Linked DNA regions of Neurospora crassa OR74A. The protein of the gene in region 1 binds, or shares a complex with, the protein of each later gene. Links are inferred from orthologs where the notes say so. Each region holds a gene or a part of one and is shown on either strand. Other genes may lie near its edges. The genes, in order: gul-1 and cot-1.

Evidence for each region.
Region 2: the proteins of gul-1 (region 1) and cot-1 are in contact, whole or in part, in a crystal structure (PDB 5NCL), measured with the Saccharomyces cerevisiae proteins. The link is inferred for Neurospora crassa OR74A from reciprocal best matches to the Saccharomyces cerevisiae genes SSD1 and CBK1. Residues at the interface, in NP_010579.1 of Saccharomyces cerevisiae: Phe211, Lys212, Phe213, Pro214; in NP_014238.3 of Saccharomyces cerevisiae: Asp450, Val451, Arg453, Phe454, Phe672, Arg673, Gly674, Val675, Ile680, Glu684, Ala685, Pro686.

Annotation. Positions count from the first base shown.
Region 1 is NC_026505.1:3,209,196-3,217,596, forward strand, and holds gul-1 (cell wall biogenesis protein phosphatase Ssd1), read right to left. Parts: upstream 5,688-8,401; 5' UTR 5,062-5,687; coding exon 4,938-5,061; intron 4,714-4,937; coding exon 780-4,713; intron 725-779; coding exon 685-724; 3' UTR 242-684; downstream 1-241. Other genes in the region: gle-1 protein, read left to right, coding at 7,684-8,401. UniProt on the Saccharomyces cerevisiae protein: Can suppress the lethality due to deletion of SIT4, and partially the defects due to BCY1 disruption. Is implicated in the control of the cell cycle G1 phase.
Region 2 is NC_026504.1:4,482,743-4,491,229, forward strand, and holds cot-1 (serine/threonine-protein kinase orb6), read right to left. Parts: upstream 4,580-8,487; 5' UTR 3,943-4,579; coding exon 3,755-3,942; intron 3,677-3,754; coding exon 3,356-3,676; intron 3,289-3,355; coding exon 2,791-3,288; intron 2,732-2,790; coding exon 2,255-2,731; intron 2,197-2,254; coding exon 1,884-2,196; 3' UTR 1,421-1,883; downstream 1-1,420. Other genes in the region: tim54 (mitochondrial import inner membrane translocase subunit tim-54), read left to right, coding at 5,939-6,004, 6,073-7,413; NCU07294 (hypothetical protein), read right to left, coding at 7,758-8,487. UniProt on the Saccharomyces cerevisiae protein: Protein kinase that seems to play a role in the regulation of cell morphogenesis and proliferation.

The DNA.
Region 1 (8,401 bases):
TGACGTTGACTGTCTCCTACCTACCTCTCATCACACTACTGGAGGACGGATTTCGATTCGTGAATACGTTTCATGGAAATGGAAGACATGGATGCCGAGCTGGAAAAAGATGTTCCACGATGTGTATACACCCCTTGTCGCCCACACTCGGCATGGGTAAAGCTTCAGCACATGCTGAAATGTTTCCGACGTCAGCACATTTGCACTTGCGATAAGCTTGATTCTGCCGAATAGCCACGCCGCCTAATTGACTATATTCCGCATTCTTTTCACTTCATCAAATAATTATAATTTATGTCTGTACTCGGCTTCTGCTGTCTTACTGATCCTCATCATAACATATTCATCCCCCCGTCACCAAAGCTATTATAGGTAGCCAAATTATGATTGATACTCCCATAGGGGTCCCTTTCTGTCACATAGCTGCCACCCGCCAAGTTATCCATGTTGAGTGTGATAACACCTTCGCGAATAAGCCATCAGACTATAAGAGATGCACACCATATCATCAACAAAGGAATACACCCGCATAACAATCTTGAAGACGTTGCTTTCTAACACATCATACATCATCCGTTCTTCCTACTTGTTTGACAAAATCTCCACATGACGACGGACATTAAGGCAAGTCATCTTAACCGTTCCTGCACTGCTGCGCATCTTCTTTCCAAAGCATCAGATCATTTAGAGGGCATAGGGATTGAGCGAGCGGATGGTCAGGCACCTGTGTTTTTGGTCAGTTGTGCATGTTGTAAGGGGAGAAGGGATGTAGAACTTACGGTGGGCTCTTGGAAAGGTCGGTCTTGAGGATGACAGGCACACGGGTCATCTCCGTCACATCCTGGATGTACTCGCCACCCTCCTCGCGGAGCTTGAAGAGCTTCAAGTACTTCTCCTTGTTGGTCAAGCGAGCCTCGGGCGCCTCACCGACGGGCACCTTCGAATCAGACCGAGTACGGTGGAGGGTACCGACGGCCTCAGCCGCAGACTGAGTAGGTGAGCCAGGCACGCTCTGAGTCGGGCGCTCCGCAAGAGATGCGCCGGCCATGGCCTCGGTGATATCAGAGGCATTGTCCTCGATGTCGTCCTCGTCCTCGTCCTGGAACAGAGCGTCAACATCATCGTGCGAGACGGTACCAGTCTCGATCTGCTTGCGGGCAGCCTCCTCGCGATCCTTCTTAGCGCGTTCGGCCTCCTCAGCCTGGCGAGCAGCAGCGAGAGCATTCGAGATGCGCTGAGAAGCGGCGGCCTTGGGGCGCTCATCTTCAGGAACGTAGGCGGAGCTGGGAACACCCTTCTCCCAGTAGAGTTCAAGAACTCTCTTCTCTTTTCTAAACTCGGCCTTCTTTAGAGGAAGCTGATCGCAGTGGACACGCTTCTCGAAGCCCCACTCCGGAATGAGGACGTCGAAGGCAGACTCGTACACACAAATGACGATACCCTCGCTGATCAGGTCGCCATTAACCTCCTGCCGCTTCTTATCCATGGTGCGGCAAGATTCGATGTGAACACTCTGTTCCTGAGCATTTTGAGCCGAATCCTTCTTGGTGTTGCAAGACTCTACGGTCTTGACAAGGTTCTCCAAATCCTCAGTATATTCAATCTTTCCATCAGAAAGAACAGCCTCAAGCTGACGATGAACAATGATGTCGGCGTAGCGCCTGGTGGGGTACGTGAAATGAGTGTAGAGGGGTAAGTTCAAGGCATAGTGAGGCCAAAGCAGACTGGCAGTCTTGCCCGCAATGAAGTACTTGGCGCGCTGCATAGACTTGACGAGGAGGGTCTCCATACCCTTTCTGATGTCAGAGTCGTCAATCTTGAACAAGCTATTCTGTAGGGTACCACTGCTAGTAGCGTCAATGTCGTAGCCCAAAGCAGTCATACGGTCAATGATAGTTTGTAGGCGGCGGGAGTTAGGAGCAGACTGCCTGCGCAGAAGGGCTTTCTCCGGGAGTCCCTGCGCCAGACGTTGGGCAACATGGGTGTTGGCCTTGTGCATAAGCTCTTCGACAAGTTCAGTGGCCTGGCTAGACTCGAAAATGTTGTGCTTAGGCGGGATGTTCTCATCATCAAGTTGCTGGAGGAGACGGAGAGGCGCAATGGGTTCGCCACCGGCGCCCAAGCGAGCTTCACGGAACTTCTGGGCGACAGCGTTGAGAATCTGGATGTCCAGGGCCTTCACAGATGGATGGGAGAATCCGCTGCTACCGGAAATGGCTTCATCGATCTCGCTGAGCGACACCTTCCCGCCGCTCTTGACGATACCCTTTCCAATCCAGGTGTCGCCTTCGGCCACCGCGCCAGTCTGGGGGTTGACGTGGAACACAACGCTAAAAGTCAAGCGATCCTGTTCAGGAGTGAGGGTGCAAAGCTCGCTCGACAGCTTGGGGGGGAGAAGGGCACAGAAGCGGTTGACAAGATGGACCGCAGTACCGCGCTTCTTAGCTTCACGGTCAACGAGTGAGCCGGGCTTGACGAAGTGGGCGACATCGGGAACGTGAATACCAATTTCGATCTTGCCGTCAGGCAACTGCTTGAAATGAACACCGTTGCCAAGCTCGACAGAGCTATCTAATTCAACAGTGAACACATTCTCGCCACGGAAGTCACGGCGAGCGGCAAGAGCAGCTTGATCCTCACTTTCAAGCGACCAGTCTTGCTGGCTGACGTTGCGCAAAACAGCCTCAGCAAACTCGTCGGACGCGAAGTTGTTGTCACGAAGGAGGGCATCGGTCTCAACCTTAAGATCACCCATTTTGCCCAGCTTCTCAACGAGGGTACCAAACGGATGCAGAGAAGTGATGGGCCAGCGCTTGATACAAGCCACGAAGATCTGGTCCGCATAGTCCTGGTGCTTCTCCACGAAGTCCTTGGGTGCTTGCTCGGTAGGAATGGCAATCAGAGGAACACGCTTGTCCGTGGGCTTGAACCAAACAATCTTGGGCTTCTCGTGGGAGCGCGAGTCTTGTTGGCGGCCATTGCCACCGTCTCTCGCAGCGCGTTCAGCTTCCTGCTTCTCCTTCGTAGCCTGACTGCTCGGGCGGAGCAGACCAAGGGTACCAGAAAACATTTGGCCGGGAACACGCTCAATAACAGCAACAATGTGACCAGCAAAGAGAGGCTGCTGCTCATCATTGATCTCCTCTTCCTCAACCAAAAGAAGACTTTGACCTTCAACTTCCACGTCGTCGTTCTTCTTTTGGGTAGGACGCTGTCTGAGGCTGCCACGGCGGCGGAGTCCCCCCTCAGCGTTGCCATTGTCGTCACCAGTATTTTGGCCTCCACTAATGGAGCCAGAACGAGTGTCGGTAATATCCTTGCGCTTCTTCTTTTCTTCCTTCTCGCGCTTCTGCGCCCACACTTCACCAACATCCAACAGCTCGACCGCAACGAGATCACCTTCGAGAGCACGGTTGCGATCCTTGCTGCCGCAGATGAAGATATCGGCGGGAAGCAGGCCATCCTGCGTCGAGACGTACGCATCGCTTCTGTTCTTCTTGTTCACGCGAAGAATACCAGAAACAAGCTGGCCGTTACCCAAGAGGGCAGGAAGAGTAGCTTGGGGAAGGTAAGGAGTGAAAAGCGTCTTGCGCTGCTGTTGCTGGCTTTGCTGACCAGGAGCAGCCATTTGAGGAGCGTGCTGGCTGGCGGCAAGACCGGTAAGTGGCTGACCATTCATCTGAGCAAGCTGAAGAGCCTGAAGCTGGTTGAGCTGCATCGGATTGAGTTGTTGGCCAGGGAAAACCTGGGGCATCATCATCTGACCGGGGAACTGAACCAGCTGAGGCTGTCCAGGATACTGGAAGGATCCAATCGAAGAGATGGACTGGCTCACCGAGCCGCGGCTGCGGTGACCGGGCTGGAAGCCCTGGCTCTGAGGAAGGGCAGCGGTCTGGTCCTGAGCCTGGTTCTGGTTCTGGTTCTGGTTCTGGTTCCTCCAGTTGCCGTCGAAGTTGCGGGAACCAGTGCGGGCATGGCCGCTACCAGGAGCGCGGCGGGAAAAGTCGCTGCCTTGGCCCACGGAGTCGGTAGAGAAATGGCCTCCGCGGCCACCACGGCCATTGGCACCAACAGCCATACTCTGGCTCCTGCCATGGCCGCCACGACCGCCACGGAACGACGATCCCTGAGCTATCTGGCCCTCCGCCGGAGCAGGAGTGGTGCTCGGGGTGGTCTTGGCATCATCCTCAGACTTCTCGGAGGAGCCAGGGGCAGGAGCAGCAGGGAACTGGAAGGTAGACGTCGTGCGCTTCTGTTGGGCGATCTCGGCGGCCTTCTTGGCATCAGCCAAGGCCAAGGAATGTCTTCTCTGATGACCGCCGCCGGATCCACCCCGACCACCACGACCGCCGGTGCTGTTCTCTCGGGCGTGACCCTGGGTGGGATCTTGGAAGTTGCCGAACGTCGAACCAGAGGCGCCGGCAGAGGGAGCAGGCGGCGGGCCCCCCATGCCCATGTTTGGAATGGCCGACTGATTACGGCGATGTGAAAGCGGTTGTGTAGGAGGAGCTAGGGGCGGCTGCTGCTGCAGCTGGACCGGGAACTGGAAGCCCGCCTGAGGCGCCAAACCGGCAATGGGCTGGAAGTTGGTGAATCCGCCAGGGCCCAGGGGTTGCGTGGCCGGAAGCATGCCGAGGTTGGCATATTGAGCTGTAATCTGCTGTTGCTGCTGCTGAAGGAGTTCGATCTGCTGCTGGATGGCAAGCTGTTCCACTGCACCGAAAAAAAGATCCAGTCAGTACGCCAGCGCATTGAAGAGGGGGATGAGGGGTTACAGTCAGGACACAAGACGGGAACGCGACGGGGTCAGGGGTACGATCATTGGCTTTTGAAGCTTTTCGCCACGAACAAGAACGGACCAGTGCAAGAGCGGTAGAGGGGCGCCGCGATAGTACACGATGGCAATGGCGATGACAATAGCAAAACTCAAAACATACTGTTCGTGTTTGAAAACATACTCATCAACGGGGTCAGCTCCGACGGGCTTCTTCGATGGGCGATATGGAGCCGTCGGCCGGCGGGGCCAGAGACGCCTCCTTGAGGCTGCTGTTGCTGATCCATGATGCAGGTTGTTGGGACGGACAGGTGCAGATGACTCGGGTGATCCAGGCAGAAAACGTGCACGTCGAGTGCGAATGCAAGGCGAAGTCGGCGTTGGACCTAAAGCGTGTGAAGAAGTAGTAAAGTAGAGCACGAGACGAGTCGAGTCGAGTCGAGTCGAATCGAATCGAGGCGTGGTCGACCGAACAGAGACGAGGGGGAAGGTTATTGAGCTGGGTTTATCTTTTTTGTGTGGCCGGATTGCCGTTGCGATGCATCAGATGCGATGGGAGTTGCGGTATGTTTGGTTGCGGTGCGGAGACGTCGCCCCAAAGGACAGTTTTGTTTCGCAGTTAAAGCGGATTGGATGAAAGAAATCAAGTCCAAAGAGGTTATAATGAGAGATTGAAAAGTTGCTACGAGGGAGTGTAGAGAGAAGGGAGGGAGGTGTCCGGCTTTGCTAGTTGACGTTGAAGCTAGAGGGAAGCCTGAAGCCGATGCGGATTGAGGTTCGTGAGGAGGGAAGGGGAAAGGGAGAGTGCAGGAGGAGGAGGAGTCGGAGGACGGGAGAAAGAGGTTCGGTGCTATAGGAAGTCAGGAGGACTGGGCCTTGGACCTGAGAGGAGGAGGAGGAGGAGGAGCAGAGCACTTTCAGCGCCGCAGCGGCAGTCAGCGAGAGGAACCCGAAAGGTCCATCCTTCGGCGGGCATCCTGGGCTGGCTAGGTTGTACCTAGAGTATCTACCTAGAGGTACCTACCTCACCTAGACTACATGCTAGTGACGAACTGATGCGTGAGAGGGAAACGACGGGACAGGATGGTGCCCGCCCGCCTGGCAGTCCGTCCTGCTGAGGTGAGTGAGGTCCGTCCCTCCTTGGAGGCGCATGCTGCAGGTGTACACGGTGCGGCGGCGGAGCATGGAAGGTCCGGGTTCACGGCAGGCATCTCTTACGGTTTCAGTTGCACCTATCAGCGGCGGTGCTGGGCAGTTGGCTGAAGTGGTGGGCTACCGTTAGTAGCGCCAGGATAGGTGCAAGCACGCAGGGTGTGAGGGTGGTGCACCGGATACCCCATGTGCGCGACACACCGTGCTCCTCTTCCCTTCCACTTACAACCCAACTACTACTGAATGAAGTAACCTTTGAGCCCCTTTTATAAAACCGTCTTTTCTTCCTGGCCTTTGTTCAAAAGGAAATCTGCACTCATGACATCCACTGCATACCTACTTCTGGAGTTTCTGTTCAATAGCCAAGAGCTTCGAAGAGTCGAGGACCGCGACAGGAGCATCCGGGGGAAGCTACACTACCTACACCAATCAACGATGCCAGTGGGGAAACGGTTCCTCAGCAGACTCGGGAAAATCACAAATGGCAGAAGTGGACACTCCCGCTAATCGTCTTTACCCCATACCTCATTTAGTTTAGATTCAGGATATCTCAAACATGGCGTATGCTGGGCGATGCTTCCCTGTCACGAATGTGTCTGCACAGGGACAGGGACGACAAACTCGAGATGTACTCGAAGATACGTGCTCGAACGTTTCTCTCGGGGAAACTCAACGGTGGTCGGAAAGAGGATCGCCAACCCATATCATGATGTGCCCGGCATCACCTGGGGAATATGGACTGGCCTTGCCGGCGTAACAGGGAAGACGTCAATGGTGATGGTGATACCCTAAACCCTGGATCGACGCGAGTACACCGCATACTGCAAGACGACAGCCGTGTCTCCCGTGTCAGAAGCTCCGGCAGGCTTTGGGGGTCTGTGTCTTTGGATGACGGTACGATTCGTAAAAGAGGTTGAAGAGAAGAGAGACACGGATACCTGCGGGAACTAATGGAGTTGCTATCTGCCATATACAAAGACCACAAGCTGACCTTCTTGACGATATTTGCTGTCCACAGCACCAATGGATCAAAGTAATACCTATGCAGTAACTTGCGATGAAAAGATGAATCCTTGATTCATCACACATCCTGCATTAAAGTTCGTTTGAGATGTCAATAGCACGTTGCCTTAGCTTAGCTTCGTAAGTACATACAATGGCGACTTCAAAGAGCTGTACCTCCGAAGCCCTTTCTCTTGACTGTTCCCATCACTTTGTAATTTATACGGACGCCCGAGGACCTGGAGATATTTCAGCGTAACACAGCAGGAGCAGACATCTAAATTTGGGTTATAGATGCCAAAGCCGCTTTGTGATATCTACACAGGTAGGTAGGTTTTTGTTGCCAACAATACATCAAGGCTAGATTTCAGGTTGGTTTATAGAAAGGTGCCACTTCCATCCGTTCTCCCCCACCAAAAGCGGCTGCAAGGACCACTGCACCTAACCACACACAGTGTGTAAAGATACCAAGACAGACGGATGCCGCCATACTAAAACCGCACCCATGGAGTGGACTTAGTGCTATTGGACTCGCGACGCGCGCAAAGTACAACTCCAATTGATAGTGTCCATAGTACCCTTCCGCAACTGTCAAGCCGAACACAACACCGGACGATCACCTTAACATCACCCAATTTTTTTTTTAACCAAGCAGCGATATATCTGCCTGAAAATTTCCCCAGTGTACCACCTGTCCGGCAATCGTGACGGGTGACTGGGATTGTCAAGCAGCAGCGCATCCAACCACCGACAGGATGGCTGGTTCGTCCCCCGCTCGCCCAAACGGCAACCAGTGGGCAAGCCCTTCCTCGCGATCAGTCATATCCGACATTCTTGCTGGAGACCGCAATTCCGAGGCCCGGCATAGACTTCTGATTGAGGCCGCTAGGAGGGAACATGAACGTGTACGCGAGGAGGCCGAGAGGGTGTACCAGGAACACCTCTTGAGACAAGAGCAGGAACGTCTGGTCGAGGAGCGCAAGAAAGAGGAGGAAAGGATACGAGCAGAAGAACAACTTGCTGCTGAGCGAAGGAAGCTTAACGCTCTCAAGGCGAAGAAAATCGAGATCCCGCCTGTCCTGCCTGACTTCGAGCCAGCAAAGGCACCATCTCCAGCCCCGAAACCTGCCTCAACGGCATCCCCATCACAACCACCCGCCACCCAAGTCAATGGCAAAACACTTTTCGAAAAGCAACCCGAGTTGCAGCCAGCGTCTGCACCGGCTGCAGCGAAGCCTTTTGGAGGATTTGGACAGACACTAACAAGTGCGCAACCCGCCACTGCTGCCCTGAAGCAGTCAACGCCTGCATCTGCAGCCTCTTCTCAGCTTGCGACCAGTAACTTGCTAGGGAACAATATCCAGGTCAATGGAACCGCCACGGCCACGACCATTGCCAAATCACCGACACCAGCACCCGTGCAACAAGGACCTGACCGATTGGCAGTGATACACAAAAATCTGAAAGAGCTGC
Region 2 (8,487 bases), on another chromosome or scaffold:
TATACGTATAAATTTATTTTATACGGGTACCGCCGGGGGTAGAAGGAGTATTACTAGGAGTAGACTGCCTTATTAAAAGTATTAAGGTTAAAGTTAAAAGGGGAGACGGGGGGGGTCTTAATACTAACTATTATTAAAGCGGGTTTGCTAGGTAAATATAGTAAGGGTAGGCTTTATACGTTATACTAACTATAGAAATCTATATTATAAACCCCATTTAGTAATTATATTAATTTTATTAATATATAGTATAAATATTAAAAATAGGAATAATTTTATACTTACTTTACTAATATTAAAATAAGTTTACTATAGTATATTATTATTAATCCTTTAAAATAAGCTAATTGTAACTTCGAAGTACAAAAGAAATTAATTATTATAGAAATTTAATAATTTAATACTCTAAATAGTAGTAGAGTAAGCAAATTTTTCATTAGTAGCTAAAGTAAATGTAAATCGTATAATACTAGAAATACTTAAGTAAACCGCCTAATTATTAGGGTATATATTATATACCGGACTATAGTATATATATTGGTAATAAAGCTATTAATTTTAATTAGGATATTAATTATACTAGTATATACTTCTATAATAAGACCGGCGAAGTTTATAGCAGTATATTCGATAGTTTAAATATATTAGTTATATTAGAAGAAAGTACTTCTATTATTAGGTATAGAGAAGAAGATATTAATAATTTATTTATTAGTATAATTATTTAACTTATTAAAGAATATATTAATATAATTCGTTCTATCGATATACTTCTCTTTTATCTATACCCTTATTTAATTATAAATAAGGAGTAACTAATTATTTATAATAGAATTCATATTAGGTAGAATATACGAAGGTATAATAGTATAGAGAAATACCCTTATAGAGGATAATTCAAATAAATTAAATAGTCTACCGTTAATAAGGATAGTTTTAGCGGCGTACTAGTTAATTTTCTTTACTTGAGTAGGATTTAGCGATACAATATAATTACGGATATCCTTACAATATTCAATTCATTAACAAAAGCGGTAATATTAGTAGAGTTGATACTCGGTATCGAAGTATTGGCGTATACGGGTAACATTCATTGCGGCGCGCTATTAGTAATAATTGTAAATAGCAATCTAGTTCGCGCGCCCAAGCTCGTCGATAAGGGCGAACTTTCTAATTATAGCCTCGGTTCGACCGTTTCGTATCGCGGGCATAGTATTGAGGGGTTACTAGATTAAATCTAGTAAATCTAATAATACTAGGAAGCTAATCGGTATATTAAACGGTATAGAATTGAGGCGCCCAGCAGTATGGAAGTTGATGCCCAACCTGGAAGTTGGGGTGCACGGACTGTGGCACGGACTACTGAATTAGCGGTAATTTCAGAAAAAATGTAATTACGTGCAAAAATGCATCATTTTCAGTATGGATGGATCTCTACATTTGGTAGCTTTGAGCAGGCGCAAGTTGTATTTTAACTTGGGCAAGCGAATGCTCGATTCGGTTACTAGATATGCAAACATCTCCATCATCACGCCATACGCAACGTTCATGTCTCTTGCCGCTTTTATTCTCCCCCGTTGCTCGCTTCAGGGCTTCCCAGTTCCTCGCCCAGAAGATGCAGTCCATACATTATGTTTCTGTACTTATTCAGCCATATATGCGGAACGGAAAATTCGCGTACTATCAGCAAAGTGTCTCTGCCATCAGAAATTTCAACAGCACCGCGAGCTAGCAAAGACGTCAAAGCCAAGTATAAGGGGTACCCAGATACTGCCGCCCCGCAGCACAACCTCTTCTCCCTTTCGCCATCACTATTACGCCCCCTTCCTCCCCCCCAAGAAAACCAACGCTCATTATTCAGACAGCGAGAAGACGTAACGCAATTATCGGAAGTTGTTGTCGAAACGCTTGAACGTGTATCCAATGAAAGGCAAGCTGAGTTCTGGGCTCTCCTCCTGCTGCGCAGGGGCAGCGGCGCCCCTAGCGGCCTGCTGAGCCTTGAGCAGCGTGGCGTTATCCGTCTGGTCAATCTCGTCCGTAGGGAAGTATGTGGTATCGATGGCGGATGTAAGACGGGGCTCGAAGGGCGCACGGATGCGACGCAAGCTGTCGAACTCAACGCCGCGGAAGAAGGCGTGGCTCTTGATTTCGTGAGCACCACCACGGCCGAGACGGTTCTCAGTGTTGCAGATGAGGCTATGACAAGTCAATATGGTGAGCGCGTGATTTTGGGGGAAGTCAAAAGCATGCATACCTTCTGATAAGGTTCTCGGCATCTACACCAAGGGTGATGTCATCCGGGAAGTAAAGCGAGTGCCTCCAGTTCACGATCTTGCGGTAAGTGTCGTGGCTATCCTCGGCGCAGAAAGGAGGCCAGCCGACCAAGCACTCGAACATGATGGTACCCAAAGACCACCAATCGCAATCAAACGAGTAACCATGGCCAGTGAAGATTTCCGGAGCAATATAATCTGGTGTACCGACGGTCGAGTAGGCCATCAAACGTCTGGAGCGTCTCCAGTCATTGATCTGTGCACGGTTGCTGACCGTCAGGTTGATTTGGTCAATAGCAACCGAGTTGCGGTTGTCGCGCGGCTTGTTGGATTTGCCCTGGAGCAGTTGTGTGTAGTAGTTGTTATCATGGAGCTTGTGGAAGCCGGTAGAGAGACCGAAATCTGTAAGCTTGACATGACCACCCCTATCAAGAAGGATGTTGTCTGGCTTAATATCTCTGCATGCACAACCGTGTCAGTATCTCTTTTCCAGAGCATTGCTTCCGGCGAAGCTTACCTGTGAATGAAGCCCAGCTTATGGACCGCGTCGATAGCCAAGACGATTTCGGCAATGTAGAAACGGGTAATATCCTCCGAGAAGATTTCGTATTTGATCAGCATGGTCATCAAGTCACCACCGGGCAAGAACTCCATGAGCATGTAAAGGAAGTTCGCATCCTGGAAGGTGGTGTAGAGCTTGACAACCCATGGGCTGTCCGACTCGGCCAAGATATCTCTTTCTGCTCGGACGTGGGCAAGCTGGTCCTTCTTGAACATTTCCGTCTTGATAAGCGACTTCATGGCGTAAACCTTGCCGTCGGCCTTCTTCTGCACGAGCTTGACCTCGCCGAAAGCGCCCTTGCCGATGATCTTGATGGTCTGGTAGTTCTCGGGCTTGTCCTTGGTTCTCAGGAAGCGCAAATACTGGCCCTCCTTCCGGCCAGCGGTTGACCAGATCGATTCGCGACGGCGGGCATCGTTGGTCTCACCGAGCTTCTGCTCCATCTCGCTCTGTCTGAAAAGGGTGTCAGCACCGATCACGGCGGGATGTAGGGGCAAAAGCGCATCGCTGCAGCATTCACCTCTGGTTGCGCTCCCTGGCGCGCTTGACGCTGTCCTTAAAGAAGTCAGAGGCCAGCTGTGAGCACTTCTTCTGGTTGTTGTTGGCATTGGGGCCATATTTGTCGGGGTTCCGCTCGGGAGCGGGAGCGAACTCGGTCTGGGTATTCGAAGGCATCGGGGCGCTCAGATAGTTGCCGTAGGTTTGCTGCTGGCCAGAGTTTCCGGATGTGCGAGGGCGTTGAGCGGGAGATGGGCCACGAGAACCGTAGGGAGAGGCTCTTCCGGCGCTGCCAATGTTCTGATGGGCGAACTGGTGGGCGAGACCAGTGTTGGGGTCGTTGCTAGTACCGTCAATGTTAGAATGAGCTTGAACGAAGCCGTAGTCGGCGGCACCAGGAGGGGCGTAGTGGCTGGCATACTGGTTCTGTTGATAGTAGTTGCCGGACTGGGCGTAGGCCTGGTTGTACTGCTGGGAACCACCGGCTTGTTGACCTGGGAAGACGGGTTGGGGGAAGGTGGACGGGGTGGTGGGATAGGTACGATCGTTTGGAGCCATGCGGGTATCGTTGGTGCCCAGGTTGAGATGGGGGCGGTTGGTGTTGTCCATCTTGGTACCTTGTCTCTAAACGGTAAACAGTGGATTCCGGGTGTATGTAGCGGGAAGGGCGCAAGCGAGCTCAGACGAGATTCCGAGGGACGGCAGATGGAGAAACGATCAGAGTCGAGCTCCCAGACCGATCGATGGGATCTATGCGCACAGAAAGGGGTTTGTGTACAAGACGGGATAGGTATGGGGAGACGGGAGGAAAGGAGGTTGCTTTTTCTTGGGACCAGGGTCCAACGAGGATCGAACGACGGTTGGCTACTGTAGATGGTAGGGATGGGAATCGAGGGCGGCCAGGCTGGGGGGGCAGGTGGTTGAGTGGCACCGTCCGAAGTGGAAGTGTCCCGCTGGAACGTGCAGTCGATAGGCGCAGTGTGGAAGTGGAAGCAAAGTGGAAGCGTGACCGACGTGAGCCTCTCCAGCCTACCTACAGGAAGGAGTCTGACAGGAGAGCACTGGCTGGAGGCGATTCAGGGCGCTGTAATTCGGAGAACCTAGGTACGGACGAATCAGACAAACGGAAGGGAAGCAGGTGGGGCAGGGTCCCTGCGGTATCAGTATAAATAAAGACCTAGACGTATAGAGGTGACATGGAACCTAACAGATCCCATCTATAAGTGACCAAGACATAGACTGTGATGATATGAGACAGCCACGGGCGCATTCAAAGGACACCTTGAATAACAACAGACAACTAGGAGCATCTTTACGTTTCCGTTTTCTGTTGCCACAGGAAGCTGGCCTCGATGTGAATCTAGTACACGATGCCCAGGAATAAGGAGGTCGTAGAAAGAGGGGTTCCATGTTTGGGATGACATGCCCAGGTCCAGTGGTGAGCTCCAGGCCGAAACAGGACCACCTAACTATGGGGTGCCCTGGTCAACCTGAAAACCCCTGACTCCAACCTCATCGTCAGACGTCAACTCGTTGCTGTCTGTTCCGCACTGCTGCCATCTTCTCGTGCCTCACAAGCACACTATAGGTAAACCACCAGTCCCCCGAGTGTTGAAGCTCGACGCAACGGCATTGGACCTCGAGAGCATCGAGACTCTGGTCCGGGAATTTGTTACTGGCTGGGAGCGGGCACTCCCGGGTCTGCAATTGATCGAAGGGGCATCCTGGTGGAGCTGAAGGTGGGGTGAACACGCTTAGCGCCATCGACACCGCATCTTCCCTGGGTGCTCCTGTTCTTTCAGGGGTTGCAGCGTCTCGGAACAGTTGTGCCCATTGATCACGCAAGAGGTCATCATGATCGCTGACAGCACATGAAGCCCAAGTCGCCACGACCGAGTATACAATTGTCTACTGTAGAGACATCCTCTACGATGCTTCAGCAGAGAATCCAGGGAAAGTAAGAACACGGAACAGGTAGCCCGACTTATACAAGCTCAGGTACCCTTTGCAGACGCTTTTAGAACCTATAGTTCTGGCTCAGAAAGATGGAACCTGCTTCAATAGGGCTGACTAAATTCCCCAACTTATGAGAGTAAAGTCCAGACATGAGACTATCTTGGAACTCTCAAGATAAAATCTTGGGCCGTTCCAAGTCTGCGTGGTCTGCATTTATACACTAAAAGTTAATTCAAGTGTCACTGGCATGACGTGCGGTTGACCTTCGCATATGGCCCGTGCACAACCACTAAACGCGATGAAAGATGCAGGTGGGTGCCGCCGCGGGAATGGCTTATCGGCTTATCGCGATAAGAAAGTGTGTCCGGGAATTTTGGCAGTCGGGTGCTCCGCTGCACCGGCCCCAAGGTCCTCAACGGAGCTCCTACGGAGTCGCTGTCCGTAGTCCGTACAATCGTTACGGAATCCCGTCGTCCTCTTCAAGTTGTCTTCCAACTGTGACGCCCCCCGCGAGAACCACCCCCCGATCTCTCCCTACGATACCCCTCGCGCCGTCACAGTAAGCTGCATGCGCCCGTAATTGCGCAAACTCCATCACCACACGACATACATCAGAGTAATAGCATCAGCCGGCGCAACACTTTATACCATGGCCGACCCAGTACCCCCGGCGTCCACTGCGCCGCCTGCCGCTCCGGCTGCAACTACGGCTACAGTATGTTACACTTTGGCTCCTTCGCACTTCATCGTATTTCTGAATATTATGGCTCACATCACACCTAGCCTCCTCCTCCTCCTCCTCCTCCTCCTCCGAAAGCCCTGAGGCCGCAGAACCAGGCACTTCGCATGCTCGGTCTCCCTAACCTGCCCAACAAGCTCCCCTCCCGAAATTGGATGATCTTCTGGACCGTCTCGGCCTCCATCACAGCTGCAATTATTTACGACCGCCGCGAGAAGAGGCGAAACATTGCGAAATGGAGACACGCCGTCGAGCACCTGGCTGCCGAACCCATCACCGATAAACTCGGTCTTGAACAGCCGCGCAAGCTGACCATCTACCTCTCCGCCCCGCCCGGCGACGGCCTGCGCGTCGCTCAGGATCACTACACAGAATACGTCAAGCCTGTTCTGGCCGCCAGTGGCTTGGACTGGGAGTTTGTGCAGGGCCGCCGGGAAGGCGACGTGCGCGCCGTAGTCGCAGAAAGATTGCGCAAGGTGCGCCGTGGCTGGGAGAACAAAGAGGAGCAGGACCCCAACCGCGAGCCTACCAAGGACGAGTTGATAGAGATCTACCGCCAGCAGCGCGGCATCAAGGACTACGAAGGTGTTCGCGGCGATGTTGTCATTGGCCGTCACACATGGAAGGAGTACCTCCGGGGCCTGCACGAGGGTTGGTTAGGGCCGCTGGTCGCGCCCGCTGAGCCTGCGCCACTCCCTCCCACACCCGCACCCGCTGCGGCCGAGGGTAGCACATCTACAGAAGACAAGCCCGCGGAGGAGAAGAAGGAGGAGGAAGCCCCGAAGCCCAAGCGCCCACCCCAACCCAAGCCATACAACACGACCTCCGATTACTCGTCCGAGACCCTTCATCCCCTGACGCCACAGGAACTCACCCCTGCGGTCCCTATCCGTGAGCCTCACATTCTCGGCTTCCTCAACACCCCTACACGCATGGTCCGATTCTTCAACCGCCGCTCACTCGCCGACGACATCGGCCGCGAAGTCGCCGCTGTGTGCCTGGCAACCCACCGCGAGTTCCAGCAACAAACCAACCCAGACGCGCCTTCTACCGATTCGGTGCAGTATGAGCAGGCGAAGGAGCTCGAGTGGGAGGAGCAGGACTGGCCCAAGAAGGTATGGAAAGAGGATGAGGCCGATGCCGATAAGGAAGTGACGGAAAAGATCCATATCAAGCCCGTGGTTATGGACCCAAGACTTGCGCACCGCATGAGGAGGTTTGCCTTGACGCCCGAGGACGAGGATCGGGTGAGCAAGATTAAAGTGCCCGAGGAGGAGGTCGAGGGCTGGATCAAGGGTTCATTGAGGAAGGCCTGTCATTGGGGCTATGACAAGGCCTTCAACAAGAAGAAGCTTGTCCCTTTGGAGGATAAGGATGTTGAATAAGCGAGGTGGTACTGTTGATACAGGAAACTTGTGTCCAACTGGCATCTTATCCTCATGTACAAACAAAAGATATAAAGGAGGCGCATGTTACGATCACAGTGTATGAATAAGCAATGGCCAAGAAAAGCTGGATGTGGACTAGTTGTTGGGTATATTAAAAGGCTAGGTGTTAGCGGTTGCTAATCAGATGAGATTGGCGATATCTCTGATCTCTGCAGCCCTCTTCCACACATCATATAATGAGACGCCTCTTCCAGTAAACTCGTGAATCAAGTAGTTCAACCAAGTCAACTCCTACCTTGTCTGGGGCCCCGTCTTCCATTCTTCATTCCCCTTTACAATGCTCAGTCATCATCCTCATCCGACGATGCATATGACACAAGTCCACCAAGGGGCTTTTTCGCGGGCGCCGTAACTGTGGTCGTAACTGTAGCCGTAACCTTGCCTGGCTCAGAAACCACCGTGTTCTTCTCCTCCTCCTTCTTCTTTTTCCCTTCCTCTCCTCCACTCCTAGCCCTCTTCACCACCCCGGGCACCAACCTTTTCCCCTCTCCCATCCTCCTCCTCTTCCTCCCTGCACCTCCCGCTCCACTCAAAAACATCAACTCCTCCTCGCCCAACCCATCATCATCCCCCCCATCCTCTCCATCCCCTCCCTCTTGCTCCTCACCACCACCATCACCACCACCACCACCTCTTTGCCGCTGCTGCAACTCCCTAAACTTCTGCAACCCCCCTTCCTCCTCTCTTCGTCTCTCTTCCTCCTCCCTCCTCTTCCTCTCCGCCACCCCCTCAAGAAACTCAATCTCGTCGTCGTCCAAAGCGCGGAACTGGTTCTTGATCTTGTTGGCTTCTTCAAAGGCCGCTTGCTTGGCTGCCTTGTTGGCTTGGAGGACTTCGTAAAGGGATTTTGGTTGTTGTTGTTCAGTGGCTGCTGGGCCACCGCCGCCGCCGATGGTGGGCATGGAAGAAGAAGAAGAAGAAGCAGAAGAGCGTTTCTTGGCTTCGAGTTCGGCTTGTACGGTGAGCCATTCTTGGGACTTTTTGGAGGCGGCGGTCGGCGGAAGAGGGGTT